2 linked regions of the Caenorhabditis elegans genome follow. The protein of the gene in region 1 interacts with the protein of each later gene in a pairwise test. Each region holds a gene or a part of one and is shown in the gene's direction. Other genes may lie near its edges.

What was found. Proteins that work in one complex are often made in the same cells at the same time.
Region 2: the proteins of prx-14 (region 1) and W04E12.2 interact in a two-hybrid assay, tested with the Caenorhabditis elegans proteins (one large-scale study listed by BioGRID).

What each region holds. Positions count from the first base shown.
Region 1 is NC_003282.8:11,181,006-11,184,761, forward strand, and holds prx-14 (Peroxisomal membrane protein PEX14), read left to right. Parts: upstream 1-2,126; 5' UTR 2,127-2,139; coding exon 2,140-2,396; intron 2,397-2,443; coding exon 2,444-2,726; intron 2,727-2,777; coding exon 2,778-3,014; 3' UTR 3,015-3,290; downstream 3,291-3,756. Other genes in the region: cpt-2 (Calponin-homology (CH) domain-containing protein), read left to right, coding at 1-108, 155-231, 279-699, 752-1,118, 1,728-1,811; nuaf-3 (NADH dehydrogenase [ubiquinone] 1 alpha subcomplex assembly factor 3), read left to right, coding at 3,291-3,396.
Region 2 is NC_003283.11:19,739,504-19,743,259, reverse strand, and holds W04E12.2 (Cytochrome b561 domain-containing protein), read left to right. Parts: upstream 1-2,125; 5' UTR 2,126-2,223; coding exon 2,224-2,404; intron 2,405-2,983; coding exon 2,984-3,145; intron 3,146-3,198; coding exon 3,199-3,455; 3' UTR 3,456-3,704; downstream 3,705-3,756. Other genes in the region: W04E12.3 (uncharacterized protein), read right to left, coding at 948-1,154, 1,289-1,309.

The sequences.
Region 1 (3,756 bases):
AGCTCGAGTGGAACTCGAAAACGCAGGAAATGGAGAATATTTGAAGAAAATTGATGGTGGACTTTTCGCAATTTGTCTTGATGACCTCAAAACTGAAGAACATAAAAGGTAATTTTAATGAAATAATTTTCAAACCAAAGTTTTGAATTCTCAGACTCGTCCAATCTCTTCTCATCGGAGATGATGCTCGTAATCGTTGGTTTGACAAGTGCTTCCAGACTATCATCGATGGTAATTTTCACAGAACTTTATTAAAAATCATATTTTTTCAATTTTAGCCAACGGTCAAGCCACAATCAACTTTGAACACTCGTGGGGAGATGGAGTTGCCGTGCTTCGTTTAATGGAAGAATCATTCAAGGATACCAACAAAAATCATTTTGTATCTCCAGACGACACTCCAAAATCTCATAATCCAGCACATGTGCAGGCACTCGAATTCAAGCTCACGGATTCTCTCAAATCTAAAATCAGTGATGCTCAGAAGAAACACGTCTCTGCAAATTCTGATCTTGATTTTGCGACAATGGAATTCGAAGGACTCAACAGAGATTTGATCAAGAAAACTAAATTGTCACCGGATTCTGTGATGCAGCTTGCTATTCAAATGGCATTCTATTCTTTGTACAAAGAGTTTGTTCCAACGTATGAGTCATGTTCCACTGCTGCTTTCTTGAAGGGAAGAACTGAATGCATGAGGTAAGCTTATTCCTCAGAATTAAAATATCAAGTTTCAAAACTCAATTTTCATATCGGCAACATCAGCTACGCGTGCCGCCACCTTGGCTATTCTTGAAGAAAATCGTAAAGATGTTCGACAACTATTGACTGATTGCTCCACACAACATTTCCAACTTGTAAAAGAAGCATCAATGGGACAAGGATATGATCGACATTTGCTCGGCCTCAAAATCACAGCTCAACGATTGAGCCAACCAACTCCAGATTTCTTCCAAGATCCAGGATACACGAGAATGGGTCATTTTGTACTTTCAACGAGCACTTTGTCAACGGATACGATTGTCTTCGGAGGATTCGGACCAGTTGTGCAAGATGGATTCGGTATTGGATACAACGTTGTTCCCAACAAACTCGGAGCCGTTATTTCGAGCAATAAGGTTCGTGATTTCTCTATTACCCAGACGCTAAATTTTATACTTTTTGCGTCAAAATTACGGTAGTGGTCTCGACGCGACCTTTTTTTTGTTGCTAAATCCAAACTTTCGTTGCTTCGGAATTTTTTAATCATTTTTTCGATAAGAAATATATGTATATTTAAAAAAAATAAAGCAAAAAAACTGAAAAAAAAAACCAATAAAAACAACAATATGTTGCAACATTGAACACATCGTAAGAAACAAAGAAAAAGTCAATTAAAATTCCAAAGCCTAAGAGCTTTAAAGGCGCACAGCTTTTCGCATTTAATAAAAAAAACTATCTTGTTGATACCCGAAAAATTGTCTAATTTTTTTTTGAAAAAAAAATTAGTCAAAAAATAGAAATATTTAGAAGTTTTTTAAAAGTATATGGAAAAAAAAGAAACTTTTTTAAGAATATAAATATTATCAGATATTATATAAAAATCGAAATAAAACTAAACATCAATAAATTGAGATTAGAAAAATCTTGTTCAGGTACCGTATTTTTGACAAAAAAAACTCGAAAATTTCAGGTTATTATCTTATCTCTTAGAATTTGAAAACATCTTATCTTTATAAAATTTTCAGTCGAAACGTGACGCTGCCGCCTTCTCGAATGCTCTTTACAAGAGTTTGGACATTCTTCGTGGTCACCTTCTCGATCCGAAATAATTGTTTGATGACATTTATGTATTTATAGTGTAAACTACTTATTTATATTCATTTTTCTGTATTTTAGGGTAATTTTTCCTCGCGGTTTCTGCCAGATTTTAACCTAACGAGTATTTTCAGTTTCAAAAAATTCTTGCTTTCACATTGTAAATGTTAATTTTTGTGATAAATTTTTATCAATCGGGAAATCAATGTTTGATTATTTGATTATTCATTGATGGTTTTGTTATCGGTTCAAACCTTTTATTATCGATTTTCACTCATTTTTTAGATTATTCAATTTATTGCCATATGTATTATACTTTTATTTTAAAGCTTCAGGTTGAAAATGACTGACCCATCTAGTTCCCCGATTCGACCGGACATGGTAGAAGCAGCAAGAAAGTTTATGCTAACTCCAAAAGTTAAAGAGACTCCATTTGAAGAACAACGACAGTTTTTATTAGGAAAAGGAGTCAGTGAGGCTGAAATCTTGGAAGCACGAGCATCTATTCCGCCGGAGCAGTTGAGAAGTCAAATTGGAACAGAGAATATGATTCCAATAGGAGGTCATCCGCAAATGATGATTGCTCCAAAACAGAATGGGTTTGTAAATGAAATTATTGATTTCAAAATATCACCGCAAATTTCAGAATAGTATCATTTGCACAATCAGCTGTGGTACTTGGATCGATTTCATATGCTGGATATCGATTCGTCCGATCATATGTTCTGCCCAGATTCTTCGATATTCCTGATCCAGCAACAGAGGAAATTCGTCAACTGCAATCACAAGTCGACGATCTTCAGAATTCAATAAAATTCATAATGGATTCTGTTTCGCAAACAACACAACAGCTTGCAACACAACAATCAGAAATTTCAAGAGCCCTCTACTCAGTTGCTAACAGAGATGCTGATTTGAATCGGGTTGAGGTGAATTCTAGAAGATGGTTTTTGTAATGCTAATATTTCAATAATTTTCAGAGCGGAATTTCCACGATAAAAAGTTTACTTCTCAGTCAACATAATTTTGCTCCAATCGTAACACCTAGTGTTACTTCATCAATTCCATCATGGCAGCAGAGTGCAACTCCAACTTCTGCAACATCAATCACCACAACTACAACTTCTGAAGCAGCTTCCGGATATGCAACTCCTCCAGCCAATTTCAAAGAATCGTCATTAGCTGACGAGTTGGCAGATATTGAAAATATTGAATAGAATTTCAGAAATCTATGTAAATATATAATTAAATTAATCATTTTTAATGCACTCCTCGAAAGCCATTCCCTTTTTCTGTGATTTCTCATCAATTCACTGTGCCTTTTCATTTTTCATGTGCCACATTCCAAAGATTGTTAATTTCATCTGTGATATTACGAAAGAAAATCATATCGACATCTGAACGTTTCATTTCACAAAATGGTTGAGAAACCAGATATAAATTATCAGAATAAAAATGTGTTGCATGAAATAAACATTTGTTATTTAGGCATAATGAACAAATCGTTGATTGCTCTCGGAGCACAGACAGCTCGTCGATTTCTGAGCAGTTCATCAAAAAATACGATAGGAGGAGGAGATGCGAATCGGGCAGACACTGGTAATTTTAGGTTTTTTGACTAATAAAAAATGTATTTATTTAGCATCCGTTACTTTTCGTTTATTCCGTTTTGGATTCGGCAAAAATTTGTAAACACTCGATTTCTGATATTTTTCCAATTCATCAAACCTGCAGTCACGAAGCTATTTATACGGTACTCGGTCTCGACACGAAAACTTTTTTTAATGCAAAAAAGTACACTCCTTTAAATAATGAGTGCTGTAAATTCCCACTCTCATTTCTAAGAATTTTATTCCATTTTTCGTAGGTTTTCTCAAGATTTGTTAAAATTTATGTGTTTTTATTGTAAAATTTAAGTTTTTCATAAATTAATGTGTATATCTTTATAGAAAAACTATG
Region 2 (3,756 bases), on another chromosome or scaffold:
GTACTGGTACGGTGAGAATACTGTAGGGGTCCTGTAGGTGTGCATGCGCGTTTATTAACTAAGAACAAAAACATTATTAAGATTATAGACGAAATAGAACAAAATCGTTAAAAGCACCGGAGAAGAAATTAAGATCATCAGTTGAAAATTGGAGAATTCTCGCGAAATTCGGGATGCTTTCCAGGTTTGAGCAACTTCCTGAAAAATCTTTTTTAGTACTGTAGGCAAAGTGCAGAGTTATTGTATGGATACGGAAGGGGGGGGGAGTACTGTAGGGGAGGGGTACTGTATGGGTACTATAGGGGCACTGTAGGAACGCTGGGTTTGTGTAGGGGTACTGTAAAACTGCCCAACGACTACTGTAGACGACATACCTCGTGAATAATCTCCGCCTCAGTCTCGTACTTTTCAGCTTTTTTCAAAAGCTCCCGAGCTTTTTTGTAATTTCCATCTGCCTCAGCGGTGTAGGCGTCCTAACTAACGTAAACTAACTAACGTAACTAACGTAAAGTCCTAACTGTAGTGCACTCTACCTGTCTCCGCCCCCTTTCGCTCACCCTTCTCGCCTGCTGAGCCAACCCGTCAAGCCGGAATTCGCGGAGGGTCGGGTCCAAATCCTTCTGAAATTTGCCATTTTTTGGGCGGCGCTAGGCGGAATGAAACCCTACCTCATCGTAAAAATTTTTTCAGACATTTTATAGCTGAAAATTTGGAATTTTAAAGAGGAAAACCTTCTGAAAAAGACTCACCTTTAGAAATCAGGAAAACATTGAAATAATTTCAAATCATCATTTTTGTTGGTATTTTTGCGGGTTCACGTGAAATTTTATTTTATCATATTTATTCTAAACCTTCACAAACTATGCCTGCCTGCAGGTAGGCAGGCCTGTAGACTACAAACACTACAAACTACACAGAAAATTTATTCAGAAAAAAAAACCGATAAATTAAAATCCCAAAAATTCAATAATTTTGAGCTCAAAAAGAGCAAAATACAAGACGAATGCAATGAAAATCGGAGCAATGAGCCAAAATTTAGAAGTCCGTGACGTCATCATTTCCACAATTTCCGTGTCATTTTGAAGATTTTCAGAATTTTCAGACAAATCCGAAAACTCGTTTTCCTCTTCTTCGCGTGGATTACACTGGGCTTCCTGAAATTTTAGATCAATTTTTGGCGGTAAATTCAAATTTTCAGTCAATTTTTTCAGCGTGAATTTCAAGTTTTCGGACAATTTTTGGCAAGTTCTGTGAAATTCAGTAAAAAAAAACAAGAAAAAAAAATCACCTTCTCCTGAAGCTCACTCATTTTAGGCAAAGCTCTGAAAATTCTAATCAGAAAAAACTTGTAAATATCGATTTTTTGTTTTAAATGTTTTAAACTGAAAACATGTTCACGTAAAACAAAAGAATTAAATTCAATTTAAAAACAAAAGAATTCATTGAAGAAAGCCCAAAAAAAGCCAATTTAAGTGAAGAGCCAATGTGGATGTCGAATTTTTGAGCAAGTAGAGTATGACGTCACATCTGAAAATGAGATATAATAGTTTTAGATTTTCAGATTTTTCTTTCAAGTACCTGATCACCGCAAAATTGCAAAAAATTGAAAAAAAAAAATTTTGTTCCCGTTTTTTCTATTTAATAGAATTTACTAACTTCTCAAGTTTACTAACTTCTCTTGCCGGAAATTTTCAATTCGAGCAACTTGCCGATTTGCCGATTTGAGGTTTGCCAATTTGCTGGAAGTTTCTAAAAGGATTTTTCAAAAGACGGTTACCCTTAAAACTGTGCTTTTTCGAAATTTTTTTCTATTTTCTCTATATATTTTAATAGAAATTACTGACTTTTCAAGATAGATGTAAGGTTATTCATATGTTGTTTTTTAAACTTTTAAATTTGAAATTCCGAAATTTCAGGGCGAAGGTGTAAGCATGCCGTTTTCTGGTAAATCAGAAAACCGGCAAATTGCCGGTTTGCAAGTTTGCCGAAATTTTTCAATTTTGGCAATTTGCCAACTTTGACGTTTGTCGCCCAGCGTACACCGCCACAAGAGGAGGAGAGTCAACTTATTGATTAGTTTTCCCACGTTTCGGGTGGCCCCTGCATACAACAACACCTCCCCCTCCACCCGAAAAATAGCGCATCCATCAAGAATCGATACTTTTTTTTGATTCTCCTTTTCTAAACAGCCTACCTACCCAAATTGCTATTTTTTCTTCCAAAATGCTATTCATTGAGCCAAGTTTTGAAAAGCTCAACGCCGAAGCGTTTGGAAATCCAGTTGTGCGTAAGCTCTCGACTGTAAATGTCTTGGCTCTGACAGCTTTCGGTCTTTCTATGGTTATTCTCAGAGACGTTTTTGAGCTCGATTTTCTTCTGATGAATACAGTGGCTGTTACAGTTGGTAAGTCTTTATTAATTTTGAAAGTTTTAGGCTTAAGCGTAGGCTTAGGCTTGGGTTTAGGCTTAGGCTTGGGCGCTGGCTTGGGTGTAGGTGTAGGTTAAGACTCAGGCGTAGGCTTTGGCTTAGGCTTCGGCTCCGGCTTAAGCTTAGGTTTAAGCTTAGGTTTAAGCTTAGGCCTAGAAAATCAGGATTTTTTTCAACTAGATGATTCTGAAAAATCTGAAAAAAATTTAGAAAAATTATTTTTTAAGATTCAAAATTTTTTTTTAGTTTTGGAGGATTCCAGAAAGTTTTGGAAAAATCAGAAAAATTCCAAAAAAAAATTCCAAAAAAAATTAGAAAAATTCAGAAAAACTCCAGGAACTTCCAACAGCTGCAGAACAGTTCAGTAAAATTTTTTGAAAATTCAGAAAAATTTTAAAATTCCATAAATTAAATGGCTTAGGTTTACTTTGGCCCAGGCTTAGGCCCAGGCTTGGGATTTGGCTTTGGTTGAGATTCAGGCTCAATCGTAGGCTCAGGCTTAGGCTTAGGCCTTCGCTCGGGATTTGCCATAAGCTTAAACTGATTATTTTTCAGCATGGTTCTCGTTTGGTTGGATTTCCACCAAAAACTATTTCACAGTTTGGAGATTGAACAGTATGTCACTTGTTTCCTGTGGATTTTTGACGCTTCTCTGCTCGAATCAATACATTTGTGATCATCATTCTTGGATTGTTTCATTTTCGACTTTTTTCTTCAGTAAGTAACTTCTAAATTTTTTTAAAATAATAATTTAAAAATTTGAATTCCAGCCGCCCATGTTCATCTGACAAATGCCACAATTTCTAGCATTGAGCTTCCTGAAAAGACGAGAAGATCTCATGAGCACATCAAACTTCACCGACTTCTAGTTCTGATCTTTGTGTTCTACATCGGATCATTTTTGACTGTCAGAGACGGTAATCACGTGACTTTTCTGTTCGGCATTTTGATTGTATTGACTGGTGTCAGACTTGAGATGATCCCAGCTGAAGTTCAAAAGGAAAGAAGTAAGGCGAAAATGGAATAAGTGATAATTGATATTCATTGGTTTTCTATTCCCAGTTTTAGTAAATACATTTTAACAGCTTCACACAGTGTGCGGCCCAATTATGGTAACACGAACGGCTGTTAGAAATTCTTGTATATCTCGAATACCCCCCGTTCATTCAAAAAAGATTTGGCTAGTTTTTCTGAATACTACAGTTTTTTTTCTCTATTTTATAATCTAAAATTAATGTTGATATACTGAATCATGAAGTTCTGTCAGGTCTTGAAACAACTGAATCAACTTTATCAAAACATCACTTGCGGCGCCTCACACTTTTTGA